Linked DNA regions of Schizosaccharomyces pombe. Changing the gene in region 3 together with the main gene of any one other region gives a genetic interaction. Each region holds a gene or a part of one and is shown on either strand. Other genes may lie near its edges.

Region 1 (3,817 bases), on a different chromosome or scaffold from region 3:
CAAGTTGTCGTAAAGACGTTCACCATATTCAAATAGCTTTGCACTTTCATCTTTGATGTAAGAAGTTTTCACATCAAAATCTCTGTCTACATAGTAACAGTTAGTTACTGAACGCGTTAGTCAATATCGTACCCGTAAGTGATTGTAAAAATGTGCTATATCCACCGATATCATGGTCGGCAACAGCCAAAACCGTCTGACGAGCTGCTTGTACTAAAAGCGACCATGTAAGGGCCAAAGCAATACACAATGCGCTCTTCATCGTAGCTGTGTTTCCAAGTGCAAATGTTGGTAGAAGAAGAGATCACTGGTATTAACCAAGCATAGCTACCTCCGCATACTGGTGCTTATGGGATTGCGTTGAACTAATTAACGATATTTTTATAAGAGCATTCAAAATAACGCTAAACTACTTTCAATAACATAAAGACACGTAAAAATTTACTCAACAGTACACTATTATAAAAGTAATTCGTCCAATTTTTATTTGAAATCCTAAATTCCATCGATTGAAATGAATTTAAATTCTTTATATTTCTATTCAACAAAGAAATATTCTCGGTAATAAAATCAGCGTTAGCTTAGCTCCCCTCAGCAATGCTTTATTTAGCAAATTTCTTAACATTGGAATAAATGGCATATACAAATCCCTCAAGAAGTCAAAATGGGTTATTTCCTTGCAATATAATATCCAGTTATTTATATCAGCTTAGCAAAAATAGACTTGTTCTATTAGCTTATAACAATGATACGACAGAACCCATGACATATCAATAAGATAACAAAATATCAATGTCAAAGAATAAAGCCTGCTTTTCTAACTAATTGCAATCATAGTGTGCACAATTTTTAAAGTTAAACATCTAATTAAAACGAAGTGCGTTATCTACGTTGACAGTTTAAAAAATCACTAAAATGCAATAGTCTAAGGTAAAGGGAACTGCTTTTTGGGAAGAGGAAGAGTAGTGCCGCTAACCTTGATGCATTCTTGTCCAAGCCAATGACCGAGAGTAACAGCATAATCGATTCCTTGGCCTTGAGAAAGAGCAGCAATAAATCCACCAGCAAAGGCATCTCCGGCACCATTGGTATCGACGATTTCCTCAGATGGGACGCGGTTGGGCTTGTAAGTGGTTACTTTACCGTCTTTAGCAACGATCGTGGCATCGGCTCCTTGAGTAATGACAACAACACGGGTGCGTTTCTTGTTAACCTTCTCAACAGAAGACAAGGCCAGCGCAATCTCCTGGACGTCGGTACTTTTGATTCCATGATTCTCCCCGTAGCTAAGGATTTCAGCTTCGTTGCCAATAACATAATCACAATATGGGATAACGGAATCCATTTGCTCCTTGAAAAATTGAGAGAGGAAAGGAGCGCTAAGATTCATGATATAGGGCTTGTTATTCTCATTAGCATGTTGAGCTAAACATAACATGGATTCGGGACTGACGGTCAAGTGAAAACCACCGACGTAAATAACCTTTGCTTCCTCAACGAACTTCCATACATTCGGCTGTTGCAAGTCCTTGAGCTTGTAGTTGTTAGCAGCTCCCAAGTTGGTACAAAGGGAGCGATTTTTATTGTTGTTGCTCAAGACGACAGCACAAACACCAGTAGGTGTAGTGGGATCAACAGAAAACTCAGATCGTAATCCAGCTTTTTCGTTCGATTCAAGAAGCATATCAGCAAACTTATCTTGACCAACGCAGCCGGCGAAAACAGTAGAGTTAGGAGGAAGTACGTATTGAGCAGCACGGCAGCTGTTTTGAGCTGCACCACCGGCACTGTAGCTAACGCATGGCTCCTTGTAGATACCCATCTGGCTCTCAGAAGCTAAGACGGCGTCGTTGCTCTTCAAGCCATACTTTTCAAGAGTTGCAGTTTCACCACCAACATAGTAATCCAACAGAGGGTTTTCCAAACCAAACAAGATGTATGAAGACATGATAAATGATTGTAGTAAGGGAAGGGAAAAAGTTAAAGAAAAACCACGAGAAAATACACCAACAGGTAAAGTATCTTAATGTTCAAAGAGCGATATTATGGCATAATTGTAATGCGTTATATTATTAATACTATACTGCGTTAAATATCGATACATGCCATATGGTCTGTTTATCTTTCGCTATATATTGTATGGTAAAGGCATACTATTTTTAATAAACTATTAAAATTTGAGCAGCTAAAAAAATTATCAATATAAGCATAACTGTACAAGCATCCTCAATTTCAGTTATTAGCTATATTGGTGAAAAATATAATACTATGTAACTGAAGATTGACAGTGTATGTTACTTATTGTACCTGTATACTGGAATTCTAGGTCACAACTAATACTCATCGCAATTTTAACCTTCATTAAACTGATTGCAAACTGCATAATTAAACGATATAAACTGTATCACACTCCTTTGCGCCTCGGTATATTATAATCACAATACTTATTTAAGAAGGCCGATCACGAGAAAAATTAGAACTAATAAAGATTAAAAGAGTCGATATTTGATGCTATATACAATTGGTCATGAATATTAACTCCATTCCTGTATTATTTTTTTAACAAAGGGGTTGCTTCAACTTTTAGCGGAAAACTTATCAAAGTGTGGAAGAAATAATAAACTAAGATAAATGATGATCGAGTTGCACTGCGTCAGGGTAGCCGGTTGTCAAAATTTTCAATATACGAATAAAGAAATAAAAACAAAAATAGAGTGAAAAAAAAATAGATATCGGCATCATGCTAAACGTGGAGACGATGATCCGCCGTTTTTTAGGATAAATTTAGGATATGACAGGAGATTACAACTAAAGAACTTTTGGTGCTTCTTCAAATATCCTGAATAAAAAAGGTCGTTAATCTTCACCTTGAACATTCGCTTTCTTTTCCATAATAGCGCTAACAATATCTATGGATAGTAGCTGTAGGTTTAAATCGTTGATCAATTGCTCTGGGGCTGTAGAATCACTTTCCCATACTAATAAGATTAGAATTTCTTGCAAACGCTCAAAGCTATGTCGGAGATTAGCTTGATCATTGGAAAAGATAGTAATTAAGCTAGAAATGTCGTTTTCTAATGCCATAGCACCATAATCATTCCACTGAATCTTATATAGTATGAGGTTTTCTATATAACTTGCAGCTTTCTCGCATGCCATAGAGCGTAAAGAAAGCTGATTTTCAGGAGTAAATTGCTCCAGCAACAAAACCCTGTCCCAAACGCTGCGAAGACGGGTAACTACCAGTCTTTCATGTTCTGTCTCCTTCGTATAGTCTTCATAGGACAAGACATAGTTGATTCCATCAAAGGAATCATCGATGCATTGCTCAATTCGGGGTAATAAAAATATCGGAAAGTACATGTTGAAAGAAGTCTTGCAAAGATTTTCAAAATTAACGGTTAGCTGCAAAAAATTATCAATCGATTTCTTTACCAATTTTTGGTCTTTGGCAAAGGCAAAAACTTCTTCCAACCGACTAGAAACACCATCCACAATTGATTTTAGATATTGCTTGCTGAGTGAAGCACTATTTACCAATGTTATGTAGTTTTCGACTTGTTTGGCGGGAATGCTATTTGCATTCTTTAGCCTCTGGAACTGAGCTTTTATAATGTTACAGACAGTTAAAAGATTATGGGAAAGGTAGACATAGTAATCATTTCTTAAAATAGGGATTAAGCTTTCGTTAACAAATCTGGTGAAGAATAAAGAGGAGACTGTAAAAAACGCACGTTGGAATACTTGCTTCGTAACGTACATGACATCGTCTACAATAGAGCTCATCCATGGGGAAACCTTTGTGTAATATTCCTCA
Region 2 (6,244 bases), 470 kb from region 3:
AACAAAGATTCCACAATTGATTACGATGCTTTACAGAAAGATCCTTTGACTTACGTGAAAAGTTGTCGAGCCCGATTTGTTTCAAAAGATACAAAAAGCTTCAGTTACTCATCACTTGCTAACACCTTTTCCTTAATTAGTTCTACCAAATCCAGGATACGCATTGTCACATTATTAACCAATTTCCTTCTCACACTTCTGTATGCAGATCCTGATTCCTTAATTGCAACAGTTTGGTTATGTACCAATTCTATTGCCCCCAACTTTTATGGAAAAAACCTTGGTGTCGGACCTGCAATGTACTCTAAAGCTTTGAAAGAAGTTTGTGGCATTACAGCAAGTGCTTTGAAAAATTTATGGAACAAATATGGCGATCCAGGAGATGTAGCGTTCGAAGCTAAAGTGTCTGTGCGCACGTTAAGCAGACCAGAACCTTTGACTATTAAGAAGGTTTATTCTACTTTACTAAAGATTGCTGACAGTAACGGTAATGGTGCCCAGAACCGTAAATTAGAGTTAACTAAATTTTTATTGATAAGTTCTAATGCTGAGGAGGTTCGATATATAGGGAGGAGTATAATGCAAAATCTAAGAATAGGGGCTGTTCAAAACACCATGTTAGCTTCACTAAGCAAAGCTTTTTTTATTTTTGACAATCAAAACGAAATATTTAATTTTAATTCTGACTCACTTCAACAACAATTTCGTCAAGGAGAAGAGATTGTTAAACAAAGTTTCTTTCAGGTCCCTGATTATAACATTTTGGTTGCAACCCTTCTTCGAGAGGGGATAGAAAACTTAAAAGACAATATGTCTATTCGCCCTGGAATCCCAGTAAAACCTATGCTTGGTTCTATCACAAAGAATTTGCAGCATATGTTAGAAAGATTGACTGATCATAACTTCTCTTGTGAGTTCAAGTACGATGGACAAAGAGCACAAATTCATTGCGATAGACTTGGAAACATTAAGATATTTAGCCGCCATTTGGAGGAAATTACAGGAAGATTTCCGGATGTCATTGAAGTTGCTCAATTAGCATTGAAACATTCATGTGATTTTATTATAGAAGGCGAATTGGTGGCTATTGACAAAAGTAATGGTCAGATACTGGATTTTCAAAAACTTTCAACTAGAGAAAGAAAAAAAGTTACAGTGGCTGATATTACAATAGACGTGTGTGTTTTTGTTTTTGATATTATGTTTTGTGATGGGAAATCTTGCTTACAAATGCCTTTAATTGAAAGAAGAAGAATGTTTTTTGAGCATTTTAATTTAATTCCAAATCGCTTTCAGTTCGTGTCTTCTTTGGAAACAAATGAGGAGCAATCCATTCAAGAATTTTTTAGTCTTGCAATTACTAATAAATGCGAAGGATTAATGGTGAAGGTACTGAATGGAACAAACTCAAAGTTTCCTTCAACGTATGAACCTGATAAAAGAGGTGAGGGATGGATTAAAGTCAAACAGGATTATGATGATGAATTTGAGTCATTGGATCTTGTTCCCATAGGCGCTTGGTACGGTAATGGAAGAAAAGCCGGATGGTTCAGTCCAATTTTGCTTGCTGTTTACAATCCAGACACTGGCGCGTATGAAGCAGTCTGTAAATGCATGTCCGGTTTTAGTGACCAATTTTATAAGGAATTAACACAAAAGTATTCCTTAGAATCTGGCAATAGCAGTCTTAAACCCATATATAATTTTTGCGAAACAGGTAAGGTAACTCCACAAATATACTTTGCCCCTCAAGAAGTTTGGGAAATTAAGGGTGCTCAAATAACATCCTCACCTGCATACAAGGCGGCTTTGGGATTAATTCAGGATGATCGCGGTTTATCAATTCGATTCCCACGCTTCATTAGAGTTCGGTCAGACAAAGGACCAGAGGACGCATCCACGAATTCAATATTGGCTGACATGTATATGAAACAACTTAATACTTGATGTTCGTGATGAACTCAAAATGTCAAGGAACATCGTTGATTGTATATTAAATAAATATTATTAAAGGTATGGCAACAAATATATCAATCATCAGTCCTCAAAATCCGATATTGAACCAATATACGCATGCCAAAGATATGTATAGGCTATCGGACAAATAGATGGCTTCTTCTTTTTAGAAATTCTAAAAGTGTTTTGATCGCCACTCTGTAATTTGAATTGATGAGGATCTTCTGGTTTGTCACAAGTTGCTATTCTTTTTGCTAGACGCATATACTCTGGCACAGTTAAATCAGGCATATTATATGGAGAGTCCTTCGAAGTATATAGCAATTCATAAGAAATTTCGGTATCTTTCGTTGCATCCATGTAATTTGACGTGTTTAAGAAATACTGCTTAAATGAAATAGGAGTAAAAAGTGACGGAACGTATGCCGGTCCCAAAGGACCGGGCTTAATATTCTTCCTCTTGTTCTTCTTCTTTTTTTTATTATTCTTCTTTTTTTTCTTCTTTTTCTTGTCTATCTCATAATCTGATTGAGACTGCTCTTCAAGCGTTTCCCAGTTAAAAGAAGTGATTTCAGTTAGCTCTTCCCGATCATCCAGCTGATTAGCAATATCAGAAATATTGTACTCGTAAACGCGAAAAGTTGGAAACATTTCAGGTATAATCGAACCACCAACGGTAGCCAAGGAGTAATTCCCGACGGTTCCATTAAGAAACTCCTCTGTTAAATTCTCGGGAAATGTAGGAAGCTCCGCGTATTGGGCATCAATTAAAGATTTTACATATTTTGGTTGCGCACTTTTGATTCCATAAGATTCTGTATCAACAGGTAACTTATCGAATTCCAAAAACACAAAATGGTTTATGTTCATATGACCATAGAGTTGTCCAACTATAATATCTCGAAACTCATAAAGCAAATCCGTAAAAGAAGTATAACAATCTTCATACCACTGGCCCCTTGTAGGGGGAATATGTCCTAGAAGCCAAACTTTCATTCCCTTTAGCCGATACGCTTCAAGCTGTATTTTGAACCATCGCATAAAAAGAGAACCAGGTTCGTCTAGATTATCATCAGGACAACCATCGACCGCGGCATTTTTGTTTGATAGGTAAAGAGTGTTAATGGAAATTGCTGCTAGCTTGTCCGGAATCACATCACATAGGTAATAAGAGCCCTTTTCAAAAGTGTGTCGTTCCTCATAAGGAATTAAAGCATCCCAAGCACCAGCTAGTTGTCGAGTCATTGAAGATGGACCAGCTTCCATAATGTTATGAGGATATATATCATTATTCCCGATAGCGGAAACAATTGGAACGTCAGGAAACGCCTCTATCATTTTATTAACCAAGTCCTCATTTGAAGCAAGAATTTCACTTTGTGTTCTTGGAAAATGGTTATCATTGTCATGCCTAGAATTATCACCAGTCCACAGTATGAAGTCAATGCCTCCCAGAACATCATCTTGATGTTCCTTAAGCCATTCCAATGTCTTATCAATTAATGCTGGTGAAGAATCACATTCATAACCAGGACCAGGAGAGAGGTAACCCACTTTGCTTTTACCCAAGGGAGTATCGTCAGAATTATGATCATAGGAATGACAATAATGATCGACGGTGGATCCTTTTTCGTAATAAATGTCAGGATGCATATCGGTGATATGCAAAAATCTACCAACAAGTGGTTTTCCTTTGCTATTAACTAAATCATTTGTATGCGCTTTATTTCGCATACTCATAGGGTTGCCAAATGCAAAAGAAGCCCATGTCGACTGTACAAAAAGAACAGCAACCGTGATTACAGAGGGACGCATTCTAAAAAGAAGGAAATCGGTATATAAAAGAAAAAAAAACTTTACCTAAGTAGAAAAAAAGAGGACACTTCAGACTAGGACGAAATTTTCCAAAATCTGTAATACAATTTCCCAGGCAATTTCAAAAACAAAAAATGGTGTTTGAAAGATTCAAGGGCTTTTGAACTCAGTACAACTTAAATAAATCAAAATTTCCCAGTAGCCGTTAATGAAATAAGTATTGTTAATCTGTTTGACAAAAAGATCGATCTAAATTAAGATCACGAGCGGGTAGTCATGAACCGAAGTCCTGCAGAGTCAATAGAAGTTGCTTCTGAGCTTTGCAAACCCCAGAGAACACTTAATTTGGGTTTGGACTATTCGATGCTCGTAATGGAAGCAGTTAAAAGATCCGTGATACTCTTCCCTAGTGAAGACGAATGTTGTGTTCACCGCTATATATGTATGATGAAAGATGTCGCATTTTATATTTTGTCAGAGCTTGCATTACGGTATTAGTTACTAACTTAATTTCGTTAAATGAATAAGGAGGAAAGTGTTTTGCTCATTAACCATTGTCCTGACGCCTTAAAGCGTTGACAGCATCTAAGAACGGGACACTCGTAATTTTGATTGGGAATAAAGTATCCTTCCACATATACTTGCCCCATCAACTCAGTTGATTCTTAATAATAGAATTTACGCCAAAAATATTATTCGTGCAATTGCTTTGAAAGTTGATATAAAAACTTCTCTAAAGGAGTTATTTGAAAATTGTGTTGATTACCGGTTGGTTCGTTTCGTTATAGTATTTGTTGGACAAGCAGGATGGAGAAAAATACAGTTACAGTTCCAAAAACCTTGTTTTCACAAGTTATTCATATTTTCAAGTATGCGGCAATTAATTTGGGCCTTCCTTTCTTGAATGGAGTTATGTTGGGATTCGGGGAGATCTTTGCTCATGCATTTATCCACTCTCTTGGTTGGGCTCCAGGTCATACTAGGATTTATTCTATTCAAAGACATCAGTATATTCAAGCCTAAAATGAAGCATAGCTGTGCGAGGAAATTTATCTTTAATATTTGAGGGAAATGGTGTTTGCTTATTCGTGATTTTTTTATTTTTTCATTTTAAGCTGAGGCGAGTATTCATAAAATTTGAGATACTCGAATGCTTAACTCATGTTTCTCTCAGATGTATTATGGTTTCAGCTTTGCACTCTCTTTAATGATCGTTTTCTTTAGTTTTATTGTTTTTATTTTCTTTTCCCACAATATTAAGAGCTTCTTTGGCACAATGCAAAGAATATATATGCTCAAGGGATGGAAAACGAATTAAGCCCAAATGAATTGTGTTTATATTTGCAAAATAACATTTAATTTCCTTTGCATTTAATTTATTTATGATCGTTTTCCTTGAGCTTCCTTCTTCTGTTTTTTAAGTATAATTACTTTTGATTTTATTTATGCCCTTTATATTAACATTATGTGACACGTTATACATCGCTTCTTCGGACCGACAAATTGATTTGAGTAGCATAGTATAGAAAAAGGTGTCAACGAAGATTTATATGAGCTGTGAGACAAGTATCGAAGCTATCATCATTGTTTAAAATTGTTCATTATTTTTACATTACTTTGATTTGAATGACAGTACTACGCTTTTTGTTGTTTTCCTCATCACATCGCTTTTTTAAATAATTGTTATTGTATTCGAACAACGATAGTGCTCTAACTTAATGACTAAAACACGCTTATTTGTAAAGGCGTGTAAGTATTACTATTCTCAGAGCAACAAATCTCAACTGATTATAAATTGATTGCACAGCCCATTGATTCATTAGAATTTTACAGGTTATTTCTGTCGTTGCTCAAGCTTTGAAAAATATACTTTTGAATGATTCTTAAAACTTACATTATCGCATGCTTGGTACACTCGGTTGGCTTTAATGATGTTATAAGACAATTTCAAGTTTGATGATACAAAAAAGGATTCTGATCCTCGAACTGAATCTTCTTGTTTATGCATAAAAAGCAGATACCGACTACTTAAAGTCAGCAAATCTGAAAAAATAAATTATCATTAAATTTTTGTCAAATTTACGAATACTGACTTCACAATTTGCTATATAAACTTGAAGATTTATTGCATTAGCCAACAAGAATACTATATTTCTATTTTCTTCCAAGATGTAGCATGGACAAACCTAAACAGTAGTCGTTCTATATTTTATAGCTATTTAAATAATTAACTATATTACCCATCGCACAGAATTACATAGCATATTATTTAAATCTTGGATATACGCTCTACAAGCATTGCTATACACTTTCAGTGGTTTTTAAAAACATGTATTAACAGGATTCCAAGCAAACTTTAGTACGCATCCAACACAAATAGGAAGTCTACGATCACACAAATTACAGCGATATAGAATTTCGCGAAAAGAATAAACCATTAACTCAAGTAATTTCAAAAGGTTCTTTGTTAACG
Region 3 (5,376 bases):
GATCGTGTTTATCACATTCACAACGAATGAATGCAAGTGTAATGTCAAGCCATTATACCAGGATATCCAAACTGGTATAAATTAATAAGATTAATAATGACAAAAATCTCTTTACAAACTCTAAAACGGAAAAAGAAGCAAATGAAAGTTGAATGCACAATAGGCTAAATAACAAAACGTTTATAACAATAGCAGTAAAAATAAGAAAACGACACACTTAAATGGTACAAATACTTAGAAAATCACATATAGTAACTTCTTTCGTCATCTGTACGATCACATTTATCCCAAAACGACTTTCTTTCCCAAAATATACCCAAAAATAAATATAAATAGACACAAAGAAAACGAAAGATAAAACATTCTTAATCAATGTAAGCAGAATACAAGACAAAAAGGGCATCCATAGTATATCAAAATTACTAGACCGATATTAGAAAGATAGGTCCAGATGGCAATTTGGCAAAGAGAGAGAGAAGAGTAAAAAAAAAGTAATAAATGGGAGTAAAAAATCATTTTCCTTTTTTTTTCACATTGTCTTACGTTTGATCATAAGATGATCTGTCGTCTGACAATATTCATAGTGTAGGTCAATCTACTGAGAAACACTCAAATGCAAAAACAAAATAAGAAACGAGAAAAACAAAGGTAATATGCGCAAAATTATTGTCTAAAGGGATGATTCTTGAATGAATCGGCTTGGTTTTGATGGAAGTTAGGATAGGTTCCATGATCGACTAGCTCATGAACGTTAAAGTCGGGTCTAATGTCTCGTGTAGGTATATCATGAAATAAAAGCATGGATGTGTACGCTAGCTCCTCCGCATGGGTATCAGGAAGCATATTCACATGATCACCATCATGTTGTTCAAGCCCGCCATCCTGTTGTCCATGTATTCCTCTTAATGAATGGATACATGGTCTTTCTACCACATGCTGTGACGAATCAGTAGCTATTGAAAACGAGTGTATTCTCCCACGCCAAGAAGGTTGATGATCCGGTACATCTTCTTCCTCATCATCAGCAGCTTGGGATTGATAATAATAAGGAACTTGAGACTTGACGGGATTTGGGGCAGCAGGAAACTCCGAATTATGAACGTCTGGATAAAAATGGTGCATTGTTTCCATATTCTTAACAGTACCATGTTGATTTTGTCCAGGCATAGCCGTTTGGTCTATGTGACGGTCAAAAAAGCTAGAATCGTGATGGTTCATTTTTAAATCGGGAACCTCAAAATGGCTCTGCATGGACAAATTTTCGTGGTCATTCGTTTCTAACATCCAATTGTTCACATTCTCAGCGGCAATTGAGCTTTCGTTATACGTCGGTTGATTATGCATTGCATTACCGAGTTCCGTATGAGATAATAAGCCATGGACTTGTTCAGAAGGTAAACCATGGATCTGATGAATTAGCAAAGAAGGATTAGCTACAGAGTGTTGCGCATATTCTCTTAGAAAATGCTCCTCGGTCATACCAACTGGATTAGTAAAACTTCGGTTTCGAGATTTTCGATTAAAAGGCTTTGAACCAGCTGAGGAAGTTCCAGTTTCGTCCATGTTAGATACCGCCACACCATCCATTGATGTTGAATTGAAATGATCATGATGGACAGCAAAAGGAGGAGTGACATTAGGTTGAAAGTTCTTTGAAGCAGATGAAACAAGTATCTGGGGTTGAAGATTTAGTTCTTGTTTAATAGCTGAGGAAGGATACTGGGCCATTCCGTTTTCATCCATCTGTCTGGAAGACATGGCAAACTGATTGTCACTTGAAGGATCCAACATTTTAGAACTGAGAGAATCTTGCGTGGAATGACCAGAAGATGCAGTAGTTGACTTGGTGTTGTTCGAAGTATCACTCAATTTTTTATAAGGGCCTCTTCTAACTCCCGTTGGCCGTTTCTTCCTGGGTAAATCAATGCAATCAGTTTTGGCTTTAATACAACGCTGACAAGGACGAGCGTCATCACATTTTTTGTTGTCTTTTTGACACTTTGCGCAAGCTCTCTTGGCCTGAGGAAGTCTTTTCTTAACTTTACCGGTAGTAGCTTTAGGCTTTTTTATAATTTTATTCACAGTGGAAAGAGGAGGAGTCGTGTTGTTGGAAACGTTTAAACTACGATTAGGAGATGGACTCCCGGCGGATCCAAAAGGTGGCATAGAGGTTTTAGGAGGATCGGGTGCTGAACAAACGCGCTGCAAAGGAGCACCATCCTGATGATGAGCTTGCGCATTTGAATATGCAGTGCCCTCTGGACCATATTGAGAATAGGGAGACAAGTTGTATGGATTTATGTCTGCCTTCACTCCAGCACCTTGTAACTGAAAATAAGCATCTTCAGGACGATAGGGAGAGTTGTTTAAGGGAATCGGAATATTAGATAATGCAGGAGGATTTGAGTAAAAAGTAGGAGAGTTGTTTGAATTAGGGTTAACAGATGCAACCACCCCAGGTGAAAAACTATCAGACGATGGAGAACGATGGTAGTATGGAATTTCGGTATTTTGGAAATGGACGTCTTGAGACTGTTGCATAGAAACAGATCTTGGATAGTATTCACTCATGCCACCGGAGGAAAACCCAGATGCATCCAAGCCAATGTTTCCCACAAACGGAGCATCATTTGGATTTGGGTTTTGCACTGAAAAAGCAGAGGGAGAAGAGATATGAGAGGTGGAAGATGTGGAGGGATGTACAGAGGCAGAATGAGTACCTTCTACTGGGCGGGTAAGCAATTGTTGCATATGATGATTGATGAATTGATATTCTGCATCGTAATCGGGTAATCCATAAGGGAAAGGAACGGAGGACCGCTTGTAATGTGGATCAAGCTCCTCATTCTTAGAAGCAGACTGAACGACTTTCTTCTGCATACAAACGAAAAAGACAAAAGAAATATGATAAAAGTAAAGCCTTAAACAAATGCTCCTTCGTCTTAAGAAAATTTAGGTTACAAAAAGGCAATACAAAAGAATTGGAGACAATGAAAAGTACCAAAATCCCTAAATCAATGGCTCCTTCACTTTCGTCGCTTTTTGTGAATCAGTATGGAGATATGGGCTATATATGGAAGAAGAATAAATGCGTTTGGAATACTAAGATCGTTGTGTAAGAATAAGAAAGAAAACAATCACGCGTAAAAATATCCTTTATGATCAACAACTTGGTACTTTTCTTTTGAAAAAAACCGCAGTTGAGCAACACTTTTTCAAATCAAAGGTGCTGATATGACACGAACGCGGGGGGTAACAATGATAAATTTTTAGCTCAATCTCGTCAAAGCAGTATAACTGTTTACAGATTTAATATCACTTGTAAACACTTGAACGATGAATTCCTGACAAAGATGAGAGATTTTCTTTTATCGTGTTAGGGCGAAGTCGACAGATCTGATTAGCGGTGGCAGCAGTAATAAATTAGCATGTACAGGGTGGTGGGGCATAGCGCAGTAATCGCCTTTAACACTTTACCTTAAAAAACCTTATATTTAAGCTACCACCGCATTGCGGGGAGATACCTTTTTCGACAATCTTAGCGAAACAGCGCTCTGTTCTGTTAAAATAATAAAGATCAATAACGGAATACAGCGTATTTCACAAGGCCTTGCAAACCGGCCAACCATCCATGGAACGTCTATATAGCACGTATAGGGTGCCTTACATAACATCTGTGTCTGCAATAGCATTGCTGTCAAGAGCCTATACTTACTGTTATTTTTTCTCTGTATTACAACCTTTATTATTGTTTGCTTTTTGCAGACTCCATTTTGAATTGTTGTACCTAAAGCATGAATCGTGTGGTTAAAAGTATCGTATACGGTGTTGGTATGGACATTTTGAGATAGGATCGATTTAGTTGAAAAGATTCTATCCCGAACTTAAGATTGTGTTACTTACCAGTATATAAAATAGGAATCGTTGGATTTGGCTATATGACAATGAAATTAACAACTCCATCTCCCGAACGAGTTGTCAATTCACTTCCACCGGATCTTCGAGCTTCTTATGAAATGAACAAAAAAGATCGATCAGTAAGTATACATAGCGAATCTTTTTTAAAACTGTTTGCTCCAGGTTCTGAAGTGGGTTTGGGGGTGCCACAAAAGAGAGAATATTAAGTCTTCCTTAATATTTCCCTTTACCTTCTTCAAACGTGGTGTTTGCTTTCAATGGTTTTTGTTCGTATTCTATGAAACTGACTTTGAGTAGCAAGCCGAAGGTGTTTTACGAATGATTGAAGACGCAAAACGAAATCCTAAAAACCTTGTTTAAGCGAGTATTCTTACTCAATTCATTTTAATTTTATCATCTCAATGTTTCGATCTTCCTCTCTCAAATATATATCTAAAAGTTACTTTCCTAGGACTTACAAAAAAACGAGCGTTTCCCATTGATGGGTCATTTTCAATTTTCTTGTTTCTTCATCGTGCTACTATTGATGATTTCTGATTTTTTTTTTTTTTTCACTTAATCTATCGCGTATTCGTATAAAACCTTACAAAACAAAAAAACGTAACTTGTGCTTATTTGAAAATTAATGATTCATTTGATTATGGATATGAACGATAATGAATGACTATTATCAGACCGTTGTATTTTCAACAGTGTATATATTACTTTTGCCTGATTTGACTCATATCAAGCCCACTATCAATAAAAATGGAAGACTTGTAAGCATCCAGCAACTTCAGCTCTTTTGAAAGCGAAATAAGTCTTTAGTTTCCTCACTTTAAATTTTGGTACTTCTTTCTCAAAATACACGAGAATACATCCAATAGGTAAACACCCCATTTCCACGTATTTGTAACAAAAAACACATTTTCATTTTGAAATCGTCAACGAAACTTTTAATGAAATACCTCGCCCATTCTGGTATTTTGAGAGGCTTATTTCCCAAAAGTATTGATTGTTTACTTGCTAATATACTCATATGAAACGTTTGAAAAAATGATTTGACGAAAACGATAAGTAATATAGATATATTCTTAAATCTACAAAGAGAATGATGATTGAATACTCAGCTGGTGTCTTTCATGAGGAAGCGTGTTGTACAGTTTGTTGTCTTGAAGACAGCTGTTTGCTTCACCATTATGAAATACTAACGCACGATTCTTCAATGGAAAAAAATGCTTGAAAAACTCTTTATGTATTTGATAATGTAAAAGCCCTTGCTAAATTCTTTATGTTAATGGAGGCGACAAAACCATTGGCGTATGTACCATGTATTTCGGTAGTAGCATTTTTTGCTACTGCTTAACATCAAGTATTCGATAAACACTTGAACATTAGGGATATTACTGAATTTTTGTATTTAAAAATTGTTATATCATATGAACTAGTACTAGTATTGTATGCTGAATAAACTAATTG
Region 4 (3,606 bases), on a different chromosome or scaffold from region 3:
AGAAACTTATGCTGGGATCTAACAGGATTAACGACAATTGTTAGAATGTGAGACAGTGCTATTTAGTTCATTTTTAAAAGAATTGGCTATGACCGTCAAAGTTCTGAAAATAAAAATATATATATGTATTTTCTTCTTGTTTCTTTTTCTAAAAATTTTTTATTCTGATAGCTGAAGCTTTACTAACATAACTGCTAAATCCTACGTTTTTAATTTTGCAGTTTGTTTGGATTTTTAGGTGTGGTTATAAATTGCTTTTATGTACATTTTCACGTTGAACAACGTCAATCAAATATATTAAGTAATTCTCAAATTCTTATATAAGCATTTTGTACGAATATTTATACTAACGGATTGATGTTTGCTATAGTTCGTCGTTTCGCTATCTATTTACTACTAATTGAAAAGTATTTTTTAAAATTATCGCACGTAAGTGTAATGAGCGTCAATGGATTCACTATAATTCATAGCTATATGATTGCTGAAAGCCAATATAAAATTACACGACATATTCAAATTGACACACGAAACTTCTTGGGCTCATTAGTATCTAACAACGAATACGTTTTACCGTATGGAACAATTTTGTTTTTATTAACGTCACTAATCAAAATTGGTTGCAAACAATTAATATGCTAGCAACTAATGTGCTTTTTATGCATAGCACACAACGATAACGATTAACTCGCACCCTAGCATCAAACAGGTGGGATTAGATGATTTTTTAAGGAATGAAACTTTGTTTTAAAAAATTTGAATTATCATGCGATTCAATTGAAAATATATTTATAAATAGAATTAGTATGTTATGCAGACAATGATCTTAATCGAAAATATACAAAGAGAGTAAAAACTTTTAAAAAAGGAAAGAAAAAATAGCAGTTGAACTGCTGGAATATATGCTGTACCGCTGAAATCCTTTAAAGGATATATGTTTCATGAAATGAGCTTTATGTCGAAAACTCAATTTGACCCAGCTTGCTGAAAAAAAAAATAAGAATCAAGATTTGCAAACTTCAAGCCTTTTTAACACACTTGACATGGTAACTAATAGATATAACAATTTCGTAATCCCATGGAAAAAGATAAATATTGAAGCAAGAAATCAAAAAAAATGGTAAATTAAAATATTTGAATAAAAGGTTGCAAATGGTAAACATTATGCATCTGTACTTCAGTTTTCCTCTTTAATGATAGAGCTCTTCTCAAGAGCTGCCAAAATATCTTTACGACTTGTCAACGCTTCCTTTGCTTCTTGATAAGACATCCATTTTCGGCGACGCTTCCTCATCTCTGGGTAATTGTCTTCTAATCTTTCAACAATAACTTCAAAAAATTCACATTCGGCTCTAGGTGGAAGTAATAATTTCTCTGCTTCGGCTCCTAACTCGGTATTGGTTGAGACGTCATTTCCGCTACTTTTTGACATTAATTGCTTCAAATATTTTTTCCTTCTGTCAATAGTATCAGTAGGACGCTTATCCTTGAAAGACCCAAGGGATCTAGTGATATGACCCACTAGTCCGCCTTCTTCCCAACCTTCACGAAGGGCAGCTTGCTGAACAGATTCATCAGCCTCCCATCCACCCTTAGGAACTACCCAAGAAGGATGTTTTTTAGCAGAAGAAACTAATAGGACTTTCCTTTTGTCTGCAGATAAAGCAACAACACCCGCAGCAAGTCTGGCTCCTGTAATAGGATTGAATCGATTTTTCGTTCGACCTTCACGAGAAGTCATTGAGCGGTTCACTGCCGTCCGTAGATGATCCGGCTCCATTAAAATCACACTTCCGTTATTTTCAAGCATATGAACTATAAAGTACTCTTCTTTTCGACAAGTTGAATGGATTTGGTATAATTTCTTGCCTTATGGTAGAGTAAGGAAACGATGTCTGAAAAGGCAAAAGCAAGATGTTCAAAAGAATCTGAGTTCTTTTTGAACAAGGAAGAGATATAAATCTCCTATTCCGATGAATATAAATCGATCGCGAAAAGTGGTTTTCCGAAGGTTTCTCCCAGTGATTTAGGTTGGGATAACGAAATAGTGAAGTACAAACCGACACGCTAAACAGTTGTCGGAGACCAAATAATTTGCGGTGATATTTAAAATGAGAGATTGTATTAGAAAATAGGTAATTTATAATTTTTCAAAATAAATAGCTTGCGAGGAAAATACATTTTCATTTTGTATGCAGTAATCTCCAATTTGCGAAGTTGTTTGTATTCGTAGATTTCGCATCGAAAAATACCCACATTATCAATTCTTTGGACAAAATGAGGCTTTTTAAAAGGAGTACGCTTGTAGAAAATCTGTAAGTCTTAATCTTTTAATACACGGTTTTCGAAGTTTTGCATTGTATTTACTGTTCTGTTGTTCTATCTGATCATTGCTGATTCCTTCACTAACTCTTGATAAGTTGGGCTTTTTGAATCTGATAATATTGATAGTAAGAGAATCAATTAACACTAACCAATTGTTGATGCATTTTAATGTCGAGGAAAATAAAATAAAATAATTTAACAAAAAAAAGATTGGATAATTTAAATTCCCAATATCTGTTTTATTTAAAACAATTATTATAGCGAAAAAAAATGTTTATTATATAAAAAACAATAATTTATACAATTCAACTACTTCTATTACGTTTGGAATAAAAAGAAAATCGTTTAAAATAATAATATATCTAAATAAAATGAGTAATGTTGGAAGAAAATTGGCTTTTCGTTTGCTTTGTTATATACCTTAGCAAGCCATTGTATAAATTGTTATTTTTTAATTTTTTTTATATGAATAAATAATGAGATATGATTTACTTTTTAAGCTTTTGATAAAATTTGTTCATAACATAAACTTTGGTATGTGTATTCCTTCTTATAATTACAGTTGTATTTAGTTTTAACAATACGGAACAAATAATTATTTTTATGTATTTAGATTTGTCATACAATATAGCGAGTAAATGCCATTCTTCAATCATAAAAAAAGTACACTTTAGTTTGTTGCAATCTTCCACCACCTCATCACTTTTTTTTCTTTTGTAAACATTAATCTTCTTACTCTCTTTGTATTTAAATATTAAAAGAGTATAACAATTCCTTCTTTTATAATATTTTATTTTCATATCGTTGGCTTCTACAATCATTGGCAATTGAAACATTGTTGACAAGCATTCAGGGTTAAACAAACCATTGTTTCAATCATTACAACTGTAATTGTCTCCCCAAAATTGATTCTCACTATCATAAACTTGGATGCTGCTTTACAGAAAAAATCTAAGCGTATATTTGATAGAGCGATTTGAGGCTCGTTTCTACGGCTCTTGAAGATGAGAAGGTGGTTCAAAAAAACGCTACCACGCCCTCCTGATGAGGAGGAATCAGCTGGATTAACAAATAAAGATATTGTTGAAACCAATCACTTATATCCTACAATCACCAATTTGTCATTAAACAGTGATACTTCGTCCATTTTATTTGATAAAAATAAAAAACCTCTAAAACCGAAAATCATTATTCCTGATAAAGAATTTGATCTCGATTATTATTTAAAAGATGAAACGGAAAGTATTCAATCTCCATTTGAAGGTTTTACTGCTCAACCAAATT

What was found.
Region 1: of pho7 (region 3) and ado1, changing one suppresses a phenotype caused by changing the other (phenotypic suppression), as found in Schizosaccharomyces pombe (one study listed by BioGRID).
Region 2: of pho7 (region 3) and SPOM_SPBC713.07C, changing one suppresses a phenotype caused by changing the other (phenotypic suppression), as found in Schizosaccharomyces pombe (one study listed by BioGRID).
Region 4: of pho7 (region 3) and aps1, changing one suppresses a phenotype caused by changing the other (phenotypic suppression), as found in Schizosaccharomyces pombe (2 studies listed by BioGRID).

The regions. Positions count from the first base shown.
Region 1 is NC_003421.2:1,349,137-1,352,953, forward strand, and holds ado1 (adenosine kinase), read right to left. Parts: upstream 1,983-3,817; 5' UTR 1,949-1,982; coding exon 926-1,948; 3' UTR 501-925; downstream 1-500. Other genes in the region: dolichyl-diphosphooligosaccharide--protein glycotransferase subunit Wbp1, read right to left, coding at 1-86, 133-262; COG complex subunit Cog4, read right to left, coding at 2,857-3,817.
Region 2 is NC_003423.3:877,882-884,125, forward strand, and holds SPOM_SPBC713.07C (polyphosphatase), read right to left. Parts: upstream 4,208-6,244; 5' UTR 3,772-4,207; coding exon 2,038-3,771; 3' UTR 1,948-2,037; downstream 1-1,947. Other genes in the region: adl1 (DNA ligase), read left to right, coding at 1-1,947; MIM complex subunit Mim1, read left to right, coding at 4,579-4,794. UniProt on the Schizosaccharomyces pombe protein: Catalyzes the hydrolysis of inorganic polyphosphate (polyP) chains of many hundreds of phosphate residues into shorter lengths.
Region 3 is NC_003423.3:1,344,586-1,349,961, forward strand, and holds pho7 (transcription factor Pho1), read right to left. Parts: upstream 3,390-5,376; 5' UTR 2,881-3,389; coding exon 664-2,880; 3' UTR 527-663; downstream 1-526. Other genes in the region: protein Cbp4, read left to right, coding at 3,795-3,831, 3,919-4,037, 4,216-4,278.
Region 4 is NC_003424.3:198,436-202,041, reverse strand, and holds aps1 (diadenosine 5',5'''-p1,p6-hexaphosphate hydrolase Aps1), read right to left. Parts: upstream 2,005-3,606; 5' UTR 1,808-2,004; coding exon 1,175-1,807; 3' UTR 525-1,174; downstream 1-524. Other genes in the region: SPOM_SPAC13G6.13 (uncharacterized protein), read right to left, coding at 2,811-3,158; chs1 (chitin synthase I), read left to right, coding at 3,327-3,606.